Saccharomyces cerevisiae S288C: one gene and its partners. The gene in region 1 interacts genetically with each later gene. Each region holds a gene or a part of one and is shown on either strand. Other genes may lie near its edges. The genes, in order: NVJ1, MDM1, LDO16 and LDO45.

What was found.
Region 2: of NVJ1 (region 1) and MDM1, changing one enhances a phenotype caused by changing the other (phenotypic enhancement), as found in Saccharomyces cerevisiae (one study listed by BioGRID).
Region 3: of NVJ1 (region 1) and LDO16, extra expression of one rescues a mutant of the other (dosage rescue), as found in Saccharomyces cerevisiae (one study listed by BioGRID).
Region 4: of NVJ1 (region 1) and LDO45, extra expression of one rescues a mutant of the other (dosage rescue), as found in Saccharomyces cerevisiae (one study listed by BioGRID).

The regions. Positions count from the first base shown.
Region 1 is NC_001140.6:489,011-492,348, forward strand, and holds NVJ1 (Nvj1p), read left to right. Parts: upstream 1-1,736; coding exon 1,737-2,702; downstream 2,703-3,338. Other genes in the region: MDM31 (Mdm31p), read left to right, coding at 1-1,386; UTP9 (Utp9p), read left to right, coding at 2,921-3,338. UniProt on the Saccharomyces cerevisiae protein: Involved in the formation of nucleus-vacuole junctions (NVJs) during piecemeal microautophagy of the nucleus (PMN). NVJs are interorganelle interfaces mediated by NVJ1 in the nuclear envelope and VAC8 on the vacuole membrane.
Region 2 is NC_001145.3:58,332-64,195, forward strand, and holds MDM1 (Mdm1p), read right to left. Parts: upstream 3,992-5,864; coding exon 608-3,991; downstream 1-607. Other genes in the region: RNA-binding signal recognition particle subunit SEC65, read right to left, coding at 1-356; NUP188 (Nup188p), read right to left, coding at 4,251-5,864. UniProt on the Saccharomyces cerevisiae protein: Essential for mitotic growth. Mediates organelle inheritance.
Region 3 is NC_001145.3:558,804-561,312, reverse strand, and holds LDO16 (Ldo16p), read right to left. Parts: upstream 948-2,509; coding exon 501-947; downstream 1-500. Other genes in the region: SWP1 (dolichyl-diphosphooligosaccharide-protein glycotransferase), read right to left, coding at 1-317; LDO45 (Ldo45p), read right to left, coding at 501-1,157, 1,533-2,114. UniProt on the Saccharomyces cerevisiae protein: Involved in lipid droplet (LD) organization. Functions primarily upon nutrient depletion, facilitating LD consumption by lipophagy.
Region 4 is NC_001145.3:557,247-561,312, forward strand, and holds LDO45 (Ldo45p), read left to right. Parts: upstream 1-1,952; coding exon 1,953-2,534; intron 2,535-2,909; coding exon 2,910-3,566; downstream 3,567-4,066. Other genes in the region: TIF34 (translation initiation factor eIF3 subunit i), read right to left, coding at 235-1,278; LDO16 (Ldo16p), read left to right, coding at 3,120-3,566; SWP1 (dolichyl-diphosphooligosaccharide-protein glycotransferase), read left to right, coding at 3,750-4,066. UniProt on the Saccharomyces cerevisiae protein: Involved in lipid droplet (LD) organization. Modulates triglyceride (TAG) storage by reducing DGA1 LD localization. Promotes LD targeting of some proteins, including PDR16.

The DNA of each region.
Region 1 (3,338 bases):
AACATTTTCATATTCATCTTCTGGACAACCACCTTTGTATCTTTGATCCTTTACTTAATCAATACCGTGTTTGCACAAGAATACCTCGCAAGCAAGATTGGTAAATTTATTACTAAGAATGAGTCGTTGTCAATCGTTTTCGAGAGTGCCATTGTACCAGACTGGTCGTCTGGGAAAATCAGCTTTCAAAAAGTCTTCGTCTCCAGGAGACCAAAGGTCTCGCGCGGCTTTACCAAGGGTTCACAGCAGGATGCCCTGCAAAGGGCGAAGTTGGCCCTTAGTGAGAGAATATTGGTTAACCAACAGGACTTTGATAATGGCAATTATACACAGTTTGATCTGACCATTGACCAAGTCGACATATCGTTGAATTTCAGAAAGTGGATAAATGGGAAGGGTATCCTAGACGAAGTGACCATAAATGGGCTTAGAGGAGTCATAGACAGAACACACGTGGTGTGGAAAAAGGACGACGATCCTAAGAACTATCTGAACGTCTACCAGCCGGGCGACTTTGAAATATCAAAATTCACCATGAACGATGTCCTTTGTACACTGTACCAGCCAAATGGGTTCAGGCCATTCCAGGTGAGTATATTTAATTGCGATCTACCGCAATTGAGAAAACATTGGTTGTTCTACGATATCTTGAATGCGAACAATATCAATGGGACCTACGACAATTCAATGTTCACTATCCACAAGAAGTTCAGAACCGATGATCAGCATCAGGACCCCACGCTGCTATGGAAGCAAATGACAAGGTTTAGGGTAGACAATCTCGACATCGATCACCTGAACGCCGGTATCGAAGGACCCTTTGGATGGATCAACGAAGGTCGCGTGAACATGATTGGCGACGTTCTTTTACCAGATGACGATGCCGCGTCTGACTCGCTGCAACTGACAGAAATCCTCACAGAGATCGGTGACCGCTTAATCAAAAAAGCGAAAAGGTACACTTCATCCCTTCCTCTGGTTGGGCCAGGATTCTCCCCGGCCGTTGATGAAATTGACCCGAACGACTACTTTATTATGGACTTTTCTTTAAGACTATACAATGTCAAAGCCGAAGTCCCTCTGTTCACTTCTGGCTTAACGTATATCAATAGTGCATTGATAAGGCCTATTGTCGGGTACATCAATTCTCACAGGACATACATCCCAATCAAATGCCGCATTGTAAAGAAAAAGTCTGATTTTGAGGGCTCCTGGACCATATATGATTCATACCTTATGCGGGATCTAAGTGCGGAAGCGTACGATGCCTTCGCCGACTACGTCGCTGACGATGAAAAGAGGACATTACGCTTGAGAAGGGTGGGCTTTTGGTCACTGCAACTTATACTCCAGGTGATTTTGATGAGTCTCGGTGCTATCGCGTGAGGAATACCTACTCCTGTCACTTTCTGTACATATGCATTTACATAGCATCGTTCTTTCTATCAGTTTATCTAATTTGTGACGCATCTTTCTTCTTTCTACACTGCGGAAAATCCTATTTGAAAAAAAATAGACGAAAAATATCAGGACCCACCCCCTTATGAAGGAGAGAAGGGGAAGAGGAGCTGCAAAACAAAAAGGTGAGGCTTCTTCTGTCCAGATTTTTGTGAGTGAGAGAGTGTGTGGGAAGAGAAGGAATTAAACCAAACAAAAATTGGAACCAACAACTGTTGCGTTTGCGTGTGTGCATAATATCAAAAAAGCTACAAATATAATTGTAAAATATAATAAGCATGACTCGTCCCCCATTGGTTCGTGGAATCTTTTCGTTAGGTCTTTCTGTAGCCGTTTTGAAAGGTGTTGAAAAAACAGTTCGTAAGCATTTGGAAAGACAGGGATGGATAGAGCCCCAGAAAGTGGACTATGAGTTAATTTTCACTATAGATAGGTTGAAAAACTTGGTAGATAATAAGCGTGAGGCTTTAACTGCGGAACAACCCGACGCTGGTGAACTGAGCTGGCGTAAAGTATTTAATTTCATTTCCAGACAATCCAGCGAATTGGACACACGAATATACGTTCTTATACTACTCCTATCCTTTCTACTACCTATCGCGTGGACTGTACTGGACGGTGATCGCGAGACCACGCTAGAAGATAAGGATAACGATTGTAATGTAGATCTTATTGAAAACGAAAGGAGGCTGAAGCATTACAACGATGGTGAAAGAGCAGTATTGCAATTTGGTAAAAATAGATCCGAACCTATTATATTAAGCTATAAGGACATGAACGTTTTGGAAGGGGAACATGAGTTTACCTCCAAAGAGGAACACAGTAACAGCCATTTGACAAGCAAGAGCGAAAATGCACTAAACCAAGTAGGGAGTGAAGATTTGTTAGGTTGTCACCTGGAAAAGCAATTGGAAGAAGACAAAAATGAACCGAATGGAGAAGCAGACGGTGAGGATGATAATAACCGGGAAAAGGATTGCAGCTCCAGTTCAGAAGTTGAGTCGCAGAGTAAATGCCGAAAGGAAAGTACTGCAGAGCCTGACTCTCTCTCACGGGATACCAGAACAACCTCTTCCCTTAAATCAAGTACATCATTCCCCATATCATTCAAGGGCTCGATAGACCTTAAGTCGTTAAACCAGCCTTCATCATTGTTGCATATACAAGTATCTCCCACAAAATCTAGTAATCTAGATGCACAAGTGAACACTGAACAAGCATACTCTCAACCATTTAGATACTAATGTACTATATTTCCGTCATCTCGGTTATCATCGTCACTTACAACGAGGTGCGAAAATTTTTTTCTTCTAAAGGTGAGAAGAAAACATGAAAAATTTTGAAAAATTTAACGATGAGATGGAGTTTTCAAGTAACTTTATGTAGTTGAAATACATATTAGTACTCCGTTGCAATATATAACGCCGGGCATTCTCCACGTATATACATACCGTAGTGCACAATGGGCTCCTCTTTGGATTTGGTGGCGAGCTTCTCGCATGATTCCACTCGTTTTGCATTCCAAGCAAGCGTCGCACAAAAGAACAATGTGGATATTTATCCATTAAATGAAACTAAGGATTATGTGGTCAATAGTTCATTAGTGAGTCATATTGACTATGAGACAAACGATATGAAGGTTTCAGATGTAATCTTCTTTGGGTGGTGTAGTGATTTGATAGATACGCAGTCATCCAATATCAAAAGAAAATTAGATGAAGATGAAGGAACTGGTGAATCAAGTGAGCAAAGATGTGAAAACTTTTTCGTTAACGGATTTCCTGACGGAAGAATTGTTGTTTACTCTTCTAATGGTAAGGATATAGTTAATATCATCAAGAATAAAAAAGAGATTTTGGGAGCAGACACAGACGAGTCTG
Region 2 (5,864 bases), on another chromosome or scaffold:
GGAACCCTTCTCCCTTCCTTATGTGATCTGTTTATGTCAAAGTAACATGGATAGAGTACTTGGAATCTTTTGACTTCTTCTAAATCTTTCTTCGAAATAGCCTCCGAACGTTCAACCTTACCAGTTTTTGGGTTAATAAAACTCAACTGCTCTTTTTCGTTGCTACTATTGTTGTTGCTATTACTGTTGTTATTCGTGCCAGGTAAAAATGCAGGGTTCTCTTGGTCCTGGCTCCTTACAACCTTAGGCGTTATCTTGGGAGCGATCGGCGTCCTCAAAGATGGATCTAACTCGGCCAATTCCATATCAAGGTCGTCGATATCATTGAAATCGTCAATCTCTTCTAATCTAGGCATTTTGACTTTATGATACTATAGCTTATGGCTTATTTTATTTCTTTTGATTTCGTTAGTTGCTAGCCTGTTGAATATCATTGATATTTTTTTTTTTTTCAGATTACAAAAGCGTGAAAAATAAATACTTCCCAATTGTTTTAAGAAGAAGTACACAATTTTTAAAGCGGCTGAAGAAGTGTACCAATTTATTTGCTATTGTGACAATTACACTTTTTTTTTTAGATTGTTCGGTACTTAGTCAAGTTTTATTTTCAGTCATTACATATTATGTCCAATAAAATTGCATCAAGAGCTTCCAACAGTAAGCTGGCATTTAAATACGGATTCTGTAGCATGGCATGGACCCGGCCAGCAGCTTCATGAGAATCTCTTAGACCAACTACACGACCACAAGTGTCTGCGAAGAGTCTTTGCAAACTGGTTAAAGCGAGTTGTTCCGTCCGTAACCTTTCACCTTCGCTTCTTGTTGCCTCTGCCGTTTCATTTCTTTTTCTTTCGAACAGACCGTTATCACCCCATAGCATATTCTTGAATGTAACTATTGCTTCAAATACTTGATCCTCTGATCTCAATTTTTGAATGCTGACCTTTATATACTTTTCAATAGTGCTCCCAAGAAGCTGTTGTAAAACGGTAATTATAGCCCTTCCTCTTAACCAACCCGCGTTGGCCTTATTTAAAGCAAAGAGCGAAATAAATAAGTCACATATCTGTTTAACAAAAGATTTATTTTGCGAATAAAAAGGATAGCCAGAATCGGTGAAAAAATGTCTTTCATCTTCATAGAAATTCAATTCACCGCCGTCTTCAGAGCTTTGTAAATCAACAACAGAACTGCTATTACTTGTGCTATTACTACTACCAATAGGTTCATGAAGTGGCTCCTCCAGAATATCATCATGCATATATTCCTTGTTCAGTTTGAATGGGGTAGGATCTGTCAAAAATCTTCTGAAAATGTTATCTTCGCATATTTCAGAAATAGATAATAGTTCTCGCAAGTACTTTTCAAGTTTTTGCTTTCGTTCCTCATAAAGCAATGTTTTTGTAACATGATATTTCAATGACATTTTCACTTTTGACGGGAACAAATCTTGCAACTGCCTCATCAGATCCCTAAAATTCTTTTTCAAATATGTATTTAATTCAAAAAATTCATTATATCTCCTTGCCATATCCCAAGAACTTACCTGCCCATTGTTAAAATGATGGATATTGATGATATAATAAGTTATTTCTTTTAGGCCATTACTAGAATTCTCACTGAAGTACGACCTAATGTATATCTTAGTTTTTCTGAACAAACTATTACCATTTTCTTGTACCATATATTGCTGTTTCAACAGTTCCTTCATTTCTAGTTCCTTTAATAGGGTTCTTTGTGACTTTTTTAAAATTTTCAACTGCATTTGATTGTTGGTCAGATCTGCCTTCAAAATCAAATGCCTTAAAAGTTCAAGCTCTTTCTCAATCTGATCAATTGAAATAGTCAAGGATGCTATATTATCCCTAAAGTTGTTTGACCCATAAAATTGGCTAGGATTTAGGCCTGAATTCCCGCTGGAAACACTTACTTTCTCCATATTACGTGGGTGATCCAACTGATCCTCGACAACAGAAATTTCTGAGGTATTATCGTTTTCATCGTCGAAGAGTTTATCTTTGAAAATGTTGTCATTTTCTGAACCAAAGAGCTGAGAATAACGGGGATTTGAGCTTATTCTTGATTTATGCGGCTTGGATCCCGATCCATTCACTATATTATCTAAAGCATCTGTGATGCCGGGGTTTGCGAATATTCTGACAGGATTCATAAAATCAGTCTTCACATTATCTTTTATTATTTTGTTTTGTTCTGGATTGTTAACACCACCGATTCTACTCAGAAAGTGAGCATATATATCAGTCGAAATGATGTGGGACGTTGAAAGCATTTTGAGAAATGAAGGTGTTTTCTTGAAAAGAGGTAAAAATCTATCATCGAGATACTTTATAGCCTCTGTCTGTAGTAGTAAAACGCTTTTCCGAGCTAGGATAAATGTGTCTTCATCGTTGTTGATTTGAAATGAATTTCTGAAAAGTATTATATTTTTCACTAAACCTTCATCCAGCAATTTCATATTTTGCAAGTTATTGTTATGAAAAAACTTTGAAGAAATCTCTTGCAGTTGCATTGTGCTAATTCCTGAATAACCAGAAATTATATCTTCAGATGTAGCATCTTCCAAGGGATTTTTGAATGATTCAATTGTTTGCGAATACTCTAAAAATGTTGAACCCTGTGTTTCAGGAACACTGCCTAAAAATGATTCAAAAAAAGGAAGAAACTCGCTATCGTCTACAATGTCCTTCAATGTGATGGAGGTAAGAAATGAAGCCATTTCCTTCAATACTATTCCATTATCCATATTTAAATCGGGATAATTAGCCTCTCTTGCAAGCTTTTTGCTTGCCGTATCAATTTCCGAGCCAGGGAACGATAACTTTGATTCAATCAAATTTAAGGAAAGCAGTAATCGTTTCTTATACTTCAAATTTTCCTTGGTCAAATGTTCATTTTCTTTCAATTGGTATATTTTGAGGGCCAATGAATACGCAACATATTTGATATCACTTAAATCCAACAAGGAGTCCAACTGGTTGAGATAATGCTCGAATTGTTTTCCAGTATATTCAGCATTAAGCTCCAATTTTTCACTTGAGGGTTCTCCAACATCTTTGTTCGCTACGTCATTCATCACTTTTCTATGATCTTGTAACTCTTTACTCAACATTCTTCTTATCTTGTGAACTTTGTGCTTTTCCTCGAAATAATTTTGTGAAAGGCTTACAATTCTTAAATTCCAACTATCTGGATCAGTAAATTTGAAAATTAATGGAGAAATAATGCACGTAGTGAGAACTTCCGTCATTAATGTGAAAACAAGCAATGAATCTAACTCATCATTATCAAAAAGGTGAGGAAGGAGCCCGATTACAGTTTTCCTTATGGATTTTTCAATTTCTTTCTGAAGAGCATTCGGCTTCAATGATAATGATTTATGTATTTTGTAATTTTTATTAAACTCAACGGCAATTTGTAGATCGATGTTGGCTGATTTATGCCTTTCAAGAGTCAAATCGCTTAGCACAGCTTCTCTGGCATCACAAAAAGTGCTGAAATGTTTGTTAAATATAGGCAACAGCTTCAGAACAATCAAGCTGGCACTATCATTCTTCATCAACTTGTCCTTCACCACTAGGAGCGTTTGTAATAATCTCCACTTTATTACTTTGAGGAACTCTGCGTCACTATTCTTATCGATTTTTGTGAACCAAGGCTGAACAAAATCTTTAATAATTAAATTAACAATACTCTCTAATTCTTTCCCAATTTGCGCGTTCCCATCTTGTATTAAACCCTCGACAGACTTCAATTCTTTATCAACATCCACAGTATTCGAACTTTCCGGTACGATATCAACAAATCTTGGCTGAGGTTTCGGTAAATCAGGCAAGGATTTGAAGAATACGAAGTACGCAAAGATGCAGACATTAAGAAAGAACCCCAGCGAAAAAGTGATTACCGACCATTGTATCATTGATATTAAGTAAAACAAAACTAAAATCAATCGAAACTGTGGAAACTTAGGCATACGATATCATATCAGAAGGCACAAACACGCGCACTTATGGCGCTTTCAAAGCATGAGAGTCTTCGGTTAATTTACTTATCTTATTGTTTACATATTTTTGAAGTTCGTAAGGCGATGAAAAAAAAAAGTACACAATGGATAGAACTGGGATGGAAAAAGCTCATACAGTCGCAGTCCGCAGTATAGCAACAAAGGGCCACCCTTGCACTTGCACTGTTCATTATTATATTATGTAGCTTTACATAACCTGCAAAATAAGTTAAACGTCCTTAAATAGTGAATCTTGTAATGCTTTAATGTCTCTGCTGATACCCTTGACGAACTCCAATCTGCTTGATTCATCCTCCAACTGCTGTTGCTCTTCTAAAGTTGTAGGTATTATTCTTGAATTCAAGTATTTTGGATGTGTTAGAAACTTGCTTAATGCAGCGCTTAACCTTTTTTTATCATGTTCAGAATCTAGACCAATAACCAATTCTACAGCTTCTTGTTGATCATCAGAGTTTTTAGGCTGAATAAACAATTCTTGGTAATTTAGCAAGTTTAGCATTTTTTGCAATAAAACCAATTGATTCGTTTCCTTTATCAACGAACTTGACACTGCTAACTTGTTGTCACCCCAGTTATATATTGTAGATTTTATTTGTTTTCCAAAATATGAAACAAATAGGCACGTCTCAGGTAAAACCTTGATACCGAACTGACTTAATAGTAGTAGAACAATGGATAACAAACCATTGCTCCAAATGTTGTGCAATCTAGGCGAAAATTCAGGTTTTATATCACCTTGCTGTATTGCAACAGATAGTGGACTTTCCAATAGAACGCTATACAATCCACTGTTGATGAGTTTTGCAGCAATTGGCTCAATAGAACACAATTCGGAGATAAAGGTCAGAGTAATTTGCCCAAGAATTGGTTCATCGTTAATCCTTATCAAATGCGCGCTTGAATATAGGTTCAGTATAACTTTCAAAGTTCCTACTTCGTTTAGGGATGATGCTAGAATAACATTGAAGTTTTTAGAGGGATTCACATTGGTGATCTTCTTGAAGAGTGATAATAATAACAATAAATCCTGAGTATTATCCTCCAAGTTGACAATTTGGGTGGTGTGATCGGTGCTTAAACCCCTCGTGGAGCATTTATTGATCTGACATAATATCTCAGACAGTATCAAATAAACACCCTTACTAAACACTAATTCAAAAAATTCCAGTAGTTGATCAGATATTAATTCGATAAAACGATCTCCTGACGAGACTAACTCGAGAAGAACTAAGACAGATCTCAAAAGAGGTCTATAAAAGTTATTTTTTAGTGACTTACCAATATTTTTAATAAAGTCAATCTCACCAGATTTGAAAATTGTAAAAATCTTGTTCATCAATTCAATTATCTTTTCTTCCTTCAACAATTTTCCCGACAACTTGAACGAATATAAAATGTAAAACGACAACTCAATTCTTTCCAGATATATTTGGGTAAACATTTGTTTATCTGAACCAAAATCAATATTTAACTTGAGGAAATGCTCTACCAAGTCGACAAAACCATCATTTAACGGAACAGTGCTCCTCTTCACAAACGTGGTGATTAGTGCGCCCCATGCTTTTGCGGTAGATATTTCGTAATTGACATACTGCAAATTTAATGAAGCGTCTGTTATTTCCTCCTTAAAATTTGTCTGACTCTTACTTGGTTCGTTCCAACTACGGTCAGCTTTTAAAACTATATCTAATAACGGAATATCATAACCGAAATTCTCATTTTCGTTTATTCTGGATAATGGAATTTTTTGGAACGACTGAAGCTCTAAACTGGGCCATTTCTCTTTAAATTTTAAGTTTAATTCATCATGAAAAGTTTTATT
Region 3 (2,509 bases), on another chromosome or scaffold:
AACTTGCCATTGTCCTTAATTTCGGGTTCAAAAGCCATTTCTAGGTTCTTATTAGGTAAGCCTATCAATAAGGTGTTCTGGAAGGGTTTGTTGGTAGACTCAATGGCGAAATTTACTTGAATCACCTCGTTAGGGTCTTCAACTGTGATTGTAGTCGGAACAGTTTCATCGATTCCTATTCTGGGTTCAACTTTACCGATCATTACCCTAGACTTTCCTGCGGTGGAGGGGAATGATACATGAACATCTTGTGCCACGTAAGCGAGGACGAACGATATGCACGACACCAAGGCCGCAAGTGTTTTGAAGAATTGCATCTGCTCCGTTTCTTTTATGGTCTATGCGTTATAGGCCGCAATATTAGAAGATCGGTAAAGCTAAGATATATGCGTATGTATATACTAAAGGCCCATATGTAATAAAAAACTGAGTGTAATTTATAAGGATATTATTATTATTGACCTGCTAAACTTGCGAAAAATGTTTTTTTATTGCCGAGGTTAAGAGAGCTGGAACTTATTACCCGCTTTATTAGCAGTAGTCTCTAATGAACGGGCAATGGCGCTTTGAGCACTAACAGGTTCGAAAATAACATCTTCTTCGGTGACGAATTTAGAAGGGCGCGCCGTTTGTCTTAATGGGCTTGGAATAGTTGGATTAGATACTGGCCTTAATGTGGAAAGTGGCTCCTGTGGTTCCTGTAGTTGTGCCGGCTGTGTTTGTAGGGCCATTTTGTCGAGGACTTTTTTCAAGAAGGCGTCAGCTCGGACATAAATGAGTTGGGCCATTTTGAAACTCATGTTGCTGCAGAAGCCAAATGATACCACGCCAATGGCAAACACAAAGGAAATGCCCAATAAGGGTATTATGAATAATGAGGAGAAGAAACCTATCACTACGAAAAGGGTTAAGTAAACAAAAAAGAAAAATGTAGCGGTAGAAACCATTATCAAAAAAAGTAGGGAACACGGAATAACAAGTCCAATGGCAAAGGAGACTTTGAACGCTGTCAGGTAAGGCTTTTCTTGGAAACAAAAGTAGATATTCTTGACTGCTTGCTGAACTTTCTGACTGGATTTTTCACGAAGTGCACGGAAATGACTCTTTGATAGGGAAATCCTAATAATAATGCTATCTTGTTGTCCAAAAGTATTGCTTCAAAAATAGGTGATTATGAAATATCAAAACCAGCTCCGAATCTGCATGTCAGCAAACAAGCATAGAAAAAATATCAGAATCCTGCAAGTACATGGTGTCTCTCTCATGATTGTGGTAGCCTTTATCCTTAAAAAATAATTAACCCGCTTGGTTCAACGGGTCAAAAAAAAAAAAGCGAACAAAAAAGTGAGTAGAATTGATTAGCCGCGCTAAGGTCGAGGATCATTGGAAAAGACAGCCTTTTAAATGCAGATCTGATTTTTTTTCTATACTGTGCCTGTTCATTAGTGGAGGTGGTTGATATTGTAAGTAAAAATACGTGTTAGTAATTGGGCAATTTCGTTATGGCGCGAGAAGCTACGACAGACATACCTCACATAGTCACCCACATTGGGGAACCAGTAGTTTAAATAAATAAAAATAATCCAAAATACTTCGTACAAGCTATTTTGTAGAGCATTTAATTTTTCTACTGTTTGCAGACTGAAGTTGTAGAAAACCTGTTTGCATTTTTCAACGAAGGATTGAAAATAGGCGGACAAAGAAGAAGCTGATGGCGAAGGCGGTTTAATAGGATAGTGACGCGATTCTTTCTCGTTTTCGTCCTCCTGTATTGCAGCACTTGTGAAGGCATAGCTTAGGAGCAGCTTTTGAACTTCAGCCTCAGTAATAGGCCCCGAGCTTTTTGTCATGGACTTAAATTTTATCGATAATTCGTCTTCGCCATCATCATGTTCGTCTATTGGCTCTAATTTTTGCTGGTGCTTGAATTCTTTCGCTGGTATAGGATTCTCGTGGTTTTCCGTTAAAGGTGTTTCAGTACCCATGTTTAGATCGATTGTTTTTTTATGTAATTCCTCTGCAACGAGCACATACGTCGCATTCTTTTCTTGAGCGGCACTCGTTACCAAAAGGGACTTTTTCTTGTTATTCTTTCTACGATTCCTGGCTGCCATCGGAGTATTGGATGTTTTTCAGATGTCACTTTTTATTTTAATCGTCTTGAAAGTACAGATGAATACCAGTTTTGTGAGTAGTCAGATTTTCTTTTTTTTTTATCCATCGTAGCCCGATCTTGGTTCTTTTGTTTTTCTTTTTTTTTTTTTACATATATACATATTACCCATACAGGAGATATCTCCAACATATTTATTAATAAAGAGAAGATTGTGGAAGGGTTGAAAAACTCGCTTGAGCTGATAAAACCCTACACTACGGTGTAATTGATTGAGATGAGAAACCTTATTCAGCGGGTCTCTGTTGTGTTGTCTTATCCTCTGAATTTTCGCGCAAGAAGTACTTTTTCATCACAACTATGGTTATAGACTCAAGCTCATTAACACGCACTTGT
Region 4 (4,066 bases), on another chromosome or scaffold:
TACCTCGAAGGGGAGGGGTATGTGTTTTTTCCCCTCGTGGTTAAAGTGACTCTCTATTAACGTAATGAAAAGTCTAAATATTATAATGACTTGCACTTCGTATCAAGATATGCGAGAGATCATAATAAACGAAATAATATCCACAGTTTGGGTTTCATATTCTTATATATATATACGTGCGTATATGCATATATGTATGTTTACTATACATCAACATCAGCATCAAAATTAACATTAATTAGCTTCTTGCATGTGCTCTTTAGCTTCGGCGGCCTTCTCCACGTCGTATTTGAAATCAAAGTAAGATTTTTCGAAATGGTGTAGACGTATGAACCCATCTTCACCACCGGAGGCATAACTTGTGCCCTGTGGGCTAATGGCAACTGTGTTCAAGGGACCAAAATGGCCTTGTACTCTGCCGATTTCTTCTTCGAAGATCTTGTGGTAGAACCTAGCTTCAAACTTACCTTCGTTGGCACTGGTGGTGGTGACATCCTTGGCCTCTTGACCACCACCAAGAATAATGAATTCCTTCAATGGGGTGATTACGGCGGTGTTTAGAGGACAGTCTGTTTCGTATTTCTTAAGAACTTGTAGAGTCGATACATCGACCAAGAACGAGTTAGTATCTCTGGATGATGTAATAAAGTATGTTAAATCAGGAGAAAATTGCATGTCACTGATGGACTTTTCGTGCAAATCGATGGAATCCACGTATTCGTAGTTGTTGGACACATCGTATTTGCTGATCTTACCGTCTTTATGGCCTGCAATGATGTATTTGCCCTTAGTCGACCATCCAGCCACGGTGGCAGCGTCTAAACCTTCATGAGTGATAATTTTATGGATTGGCTCTTCGGAGACCTTTGTTAATTCGTGAGTGGCGGAATCTCTTTCAATTTCGTATATGTTAATGGAACCTGGATTTTTCATGACGTTGTCCAAGATAGCTAGAAAGTAGTTACCGCATGGGGAAAATTCAACTCTTTTAACGGGGACAGGCGATTTCCATGTAGCAACACATTGCCCGTTTGACACATCCCATAATTTGATACTGTAATCAGCACTTCCTGTAACACAGTACTTGGTGAAACAGTCGACGTCGATAGACCAAATGGTACCGGTGTGACCATCCAAAGTACCTAATCTTTCACCGTTCAACGAATACCAAACACTGGCCGAGCTATCTTTCGAACATGAAAATAGTAAATCACCTTCTTTGTTGTACTTCACTTGAGTTAATGGACGTTCATGACCTGTTAATTTGATAGCCTTCATATTCCTTGTCTGTGCTATTTCTTTTTGTCTTCTCTCCTGGCCAGTTATCTAACGACCTTAAGATATACCTCGCCTCTTGTTCATCAGTAACTCTTCTGCAAATTTTTCTGTTCAGTTACGACTATTCGAAATTTTTCAGAGGCCGGAAAAAATTTCACAAAAAAAAAAAAATATGCGAAACTGAAGGTGGCACGCGGGGTAACTGATATATTTCATACGAACAGCGGCTATACAGAAACCCCACTATATTTACAAAGAAATATGCTCTGGAATCTACCTACAAGTGCGTGTTAATGAGCTTGAGTCTATAACCATAGTTGTGATGAAAAAGTACTTCTTGCGCGAAAATTCAGAGGATAAGACAACACAACAGAGACCCGCTGAATAAGGTTTCTCATCTCAATCAATTACACCGTAGTGTAGGGTTTTATCAGCTCAAGCGAGTTTTTCAACCCTTCCACAATCTTCTCTTTATTAATAAATATGTTGGAGATATCTCCTGTATGGGTAATATGTATATATGTAAAAAAAAAAAAAGAAAAACAAAAGAACCAAGATCGGGCTACGATGGATAAAAAAAAAAGAAAATCTGACTACTCACAAAACTGGTATTCATCTGTACTTTCAAGACGATTAAAATAAAAAGTGACATCTGAAAAACATCCAATACTCCGATGGCAGCCAGGAATCGTAGAAAGAATAACAAGAAAAAGTCCCTTTTGGTAACGAGTGCCGCTCAAGAAAAGAATGCGACGTATGTGCTCGTTGCAGAGGAATTACATAAAAAAACAATCGATCTAAACATGGGTACTGAAACACCTTTAACGGAAAACCACGAGAATCCTATACCAGCGAAAGAATTCAAGCACCAGCAAAAATTAGAGCCAATAGACGAACATGATGATGGCGAAGACGAATTATCGATAAAATTTAAGTCCATGACAAAAAGCTCGGGGCCTATTACTGAGGCTGAAGTTCAAAAGCTGCTCCTAAGCTATGCCTTCACAAGTGCTGCAATACAGGAGGACGAAAACGAGAAAGAATCGCGTCACTATCCTATTAAACCGCCTTCGCCATCAGCTTCTTCTTTGTCCGCCTATTTTCAATCCTTCGTTGAAAAATGCAAACAGGTTTTCTACAACTTCAGTCTGCAAACAGTAGAAAAATTAAATGCTCTACAAAATAGCTTGTACGAAGTATTTTGGATTATTTTTATTTATTTAAACTACTGGTTCCCCAATGTGGGTGACTATGTGAGGTATGTCTGTCGTAGCTTCTCGCGCCATAACGAAATTGCCCAATTACTAACACGTATTTTTACTTACAATATCAACCACCTCCACTAATGAACAGGCACAGTATAGAAAAAAAATCAGATCTGCATTTAAAAGGCTGTCTTTTCCAATGATCCTCGACCTTAGCGCGGCTAATCAATTCTACTCACTTTTTTGTTCGCTTTTTTTTTTTTGACCCGTTGAACCAAGCGGGTTAATTATTTTTTAAGGATAAAGGCTACCACAATCATGAGAGAGACACCATGTACTTGCAGGATTCTGATATTTTTTCTATGCTTGTTTGCTGACATGCAGATTCGGAGCTGGTTTTGATATTTCATAATCACCTATTTTTGAAGCAATACTTTTGGACAACAAGATAGCATTATTATTAGGATTTCCCTATCAAAGAGTCATTTCCGTGCACTTCGTGAAAAATCCAGTCAGAAAGTTCAGCAAGCAGTCAAGAATATCTACTTTTGTTTCCAAGAAAAGCCTTACCTGACAGCGTTCAAAGTCTCCTTTGCCATTGGACTTGTTATTCCGTGTTCCCTACTTTTTTTGATAATGGTTTCTACCGCTACATTTTTCTTTTTTGTTTACTTAACCCTTTTCGTAGTGATAGGTTTCTTCTCCTCATTATTCATAATACCCTTATTGGGCATTTCCTTTGTGTTTGCCATTGGCGTGGTATCATTTGGCTTCTGCAGCAACATGAGTTTCAAAATGGCCCAACTCATTTATGTCCGAGCTGACGCCTTCTTGAAAAAAGTCCTCGACAAAATGGCCCTACAAACACAGCCGGCACAACTACAGGAACCACAGGAGCCACTTTCCACATTAAGGCCAGTATCTAATCCAACTATTCCAAGCCCATTAAGACAAACGGCGCGCCCTTCTAAATTCGTCACCGAAGAAGATGTTATTTTCGAACCTGTTAGTGCTCAAAGCGCCATTGCCCGTTCATTAGAGACTACTGCTAATAAAGCGGGTAATAAGTTCCAGCTCTCTTAACCTCGGCAATAAAAAAACATTTTTCGCAAGTTTAGCAGGTCAATAATAATAATATCCTTATAAATTACACTCAGTTTTTTATTACATATGGGCCTTTAGTATATACATACGCATATATCTTAGCTTTACCGATCTTCTAATATTGCGGCCTATAACGCATAGACCATAAAAGAAACGGAGCAGATGCAATTCTTCAAAACACTTGCGGCCTTGGTGTCGTGCATATCGTTCGTCCTCGCTTACGTGGCACAAGATGTTCATGTATCATTCCCCTCCACCGCAGGAAAGTCTAGGGTAATGATCGGTAAAGTTGAACCCAGAATAGGAATCGATGAAACTGTTCCGACTACAATCACAGTTGAAGACCCTAACGAGGTGATTCAAGTAAATTTCGCCATTGAGTCTACCAACAAACCCTTCCAGAACACCTTATTGATAGGCTTACCTAATAAGAACCTAGAAATGGCTTTTGAACCCGAAATTAAGGACAATGGCAAGTT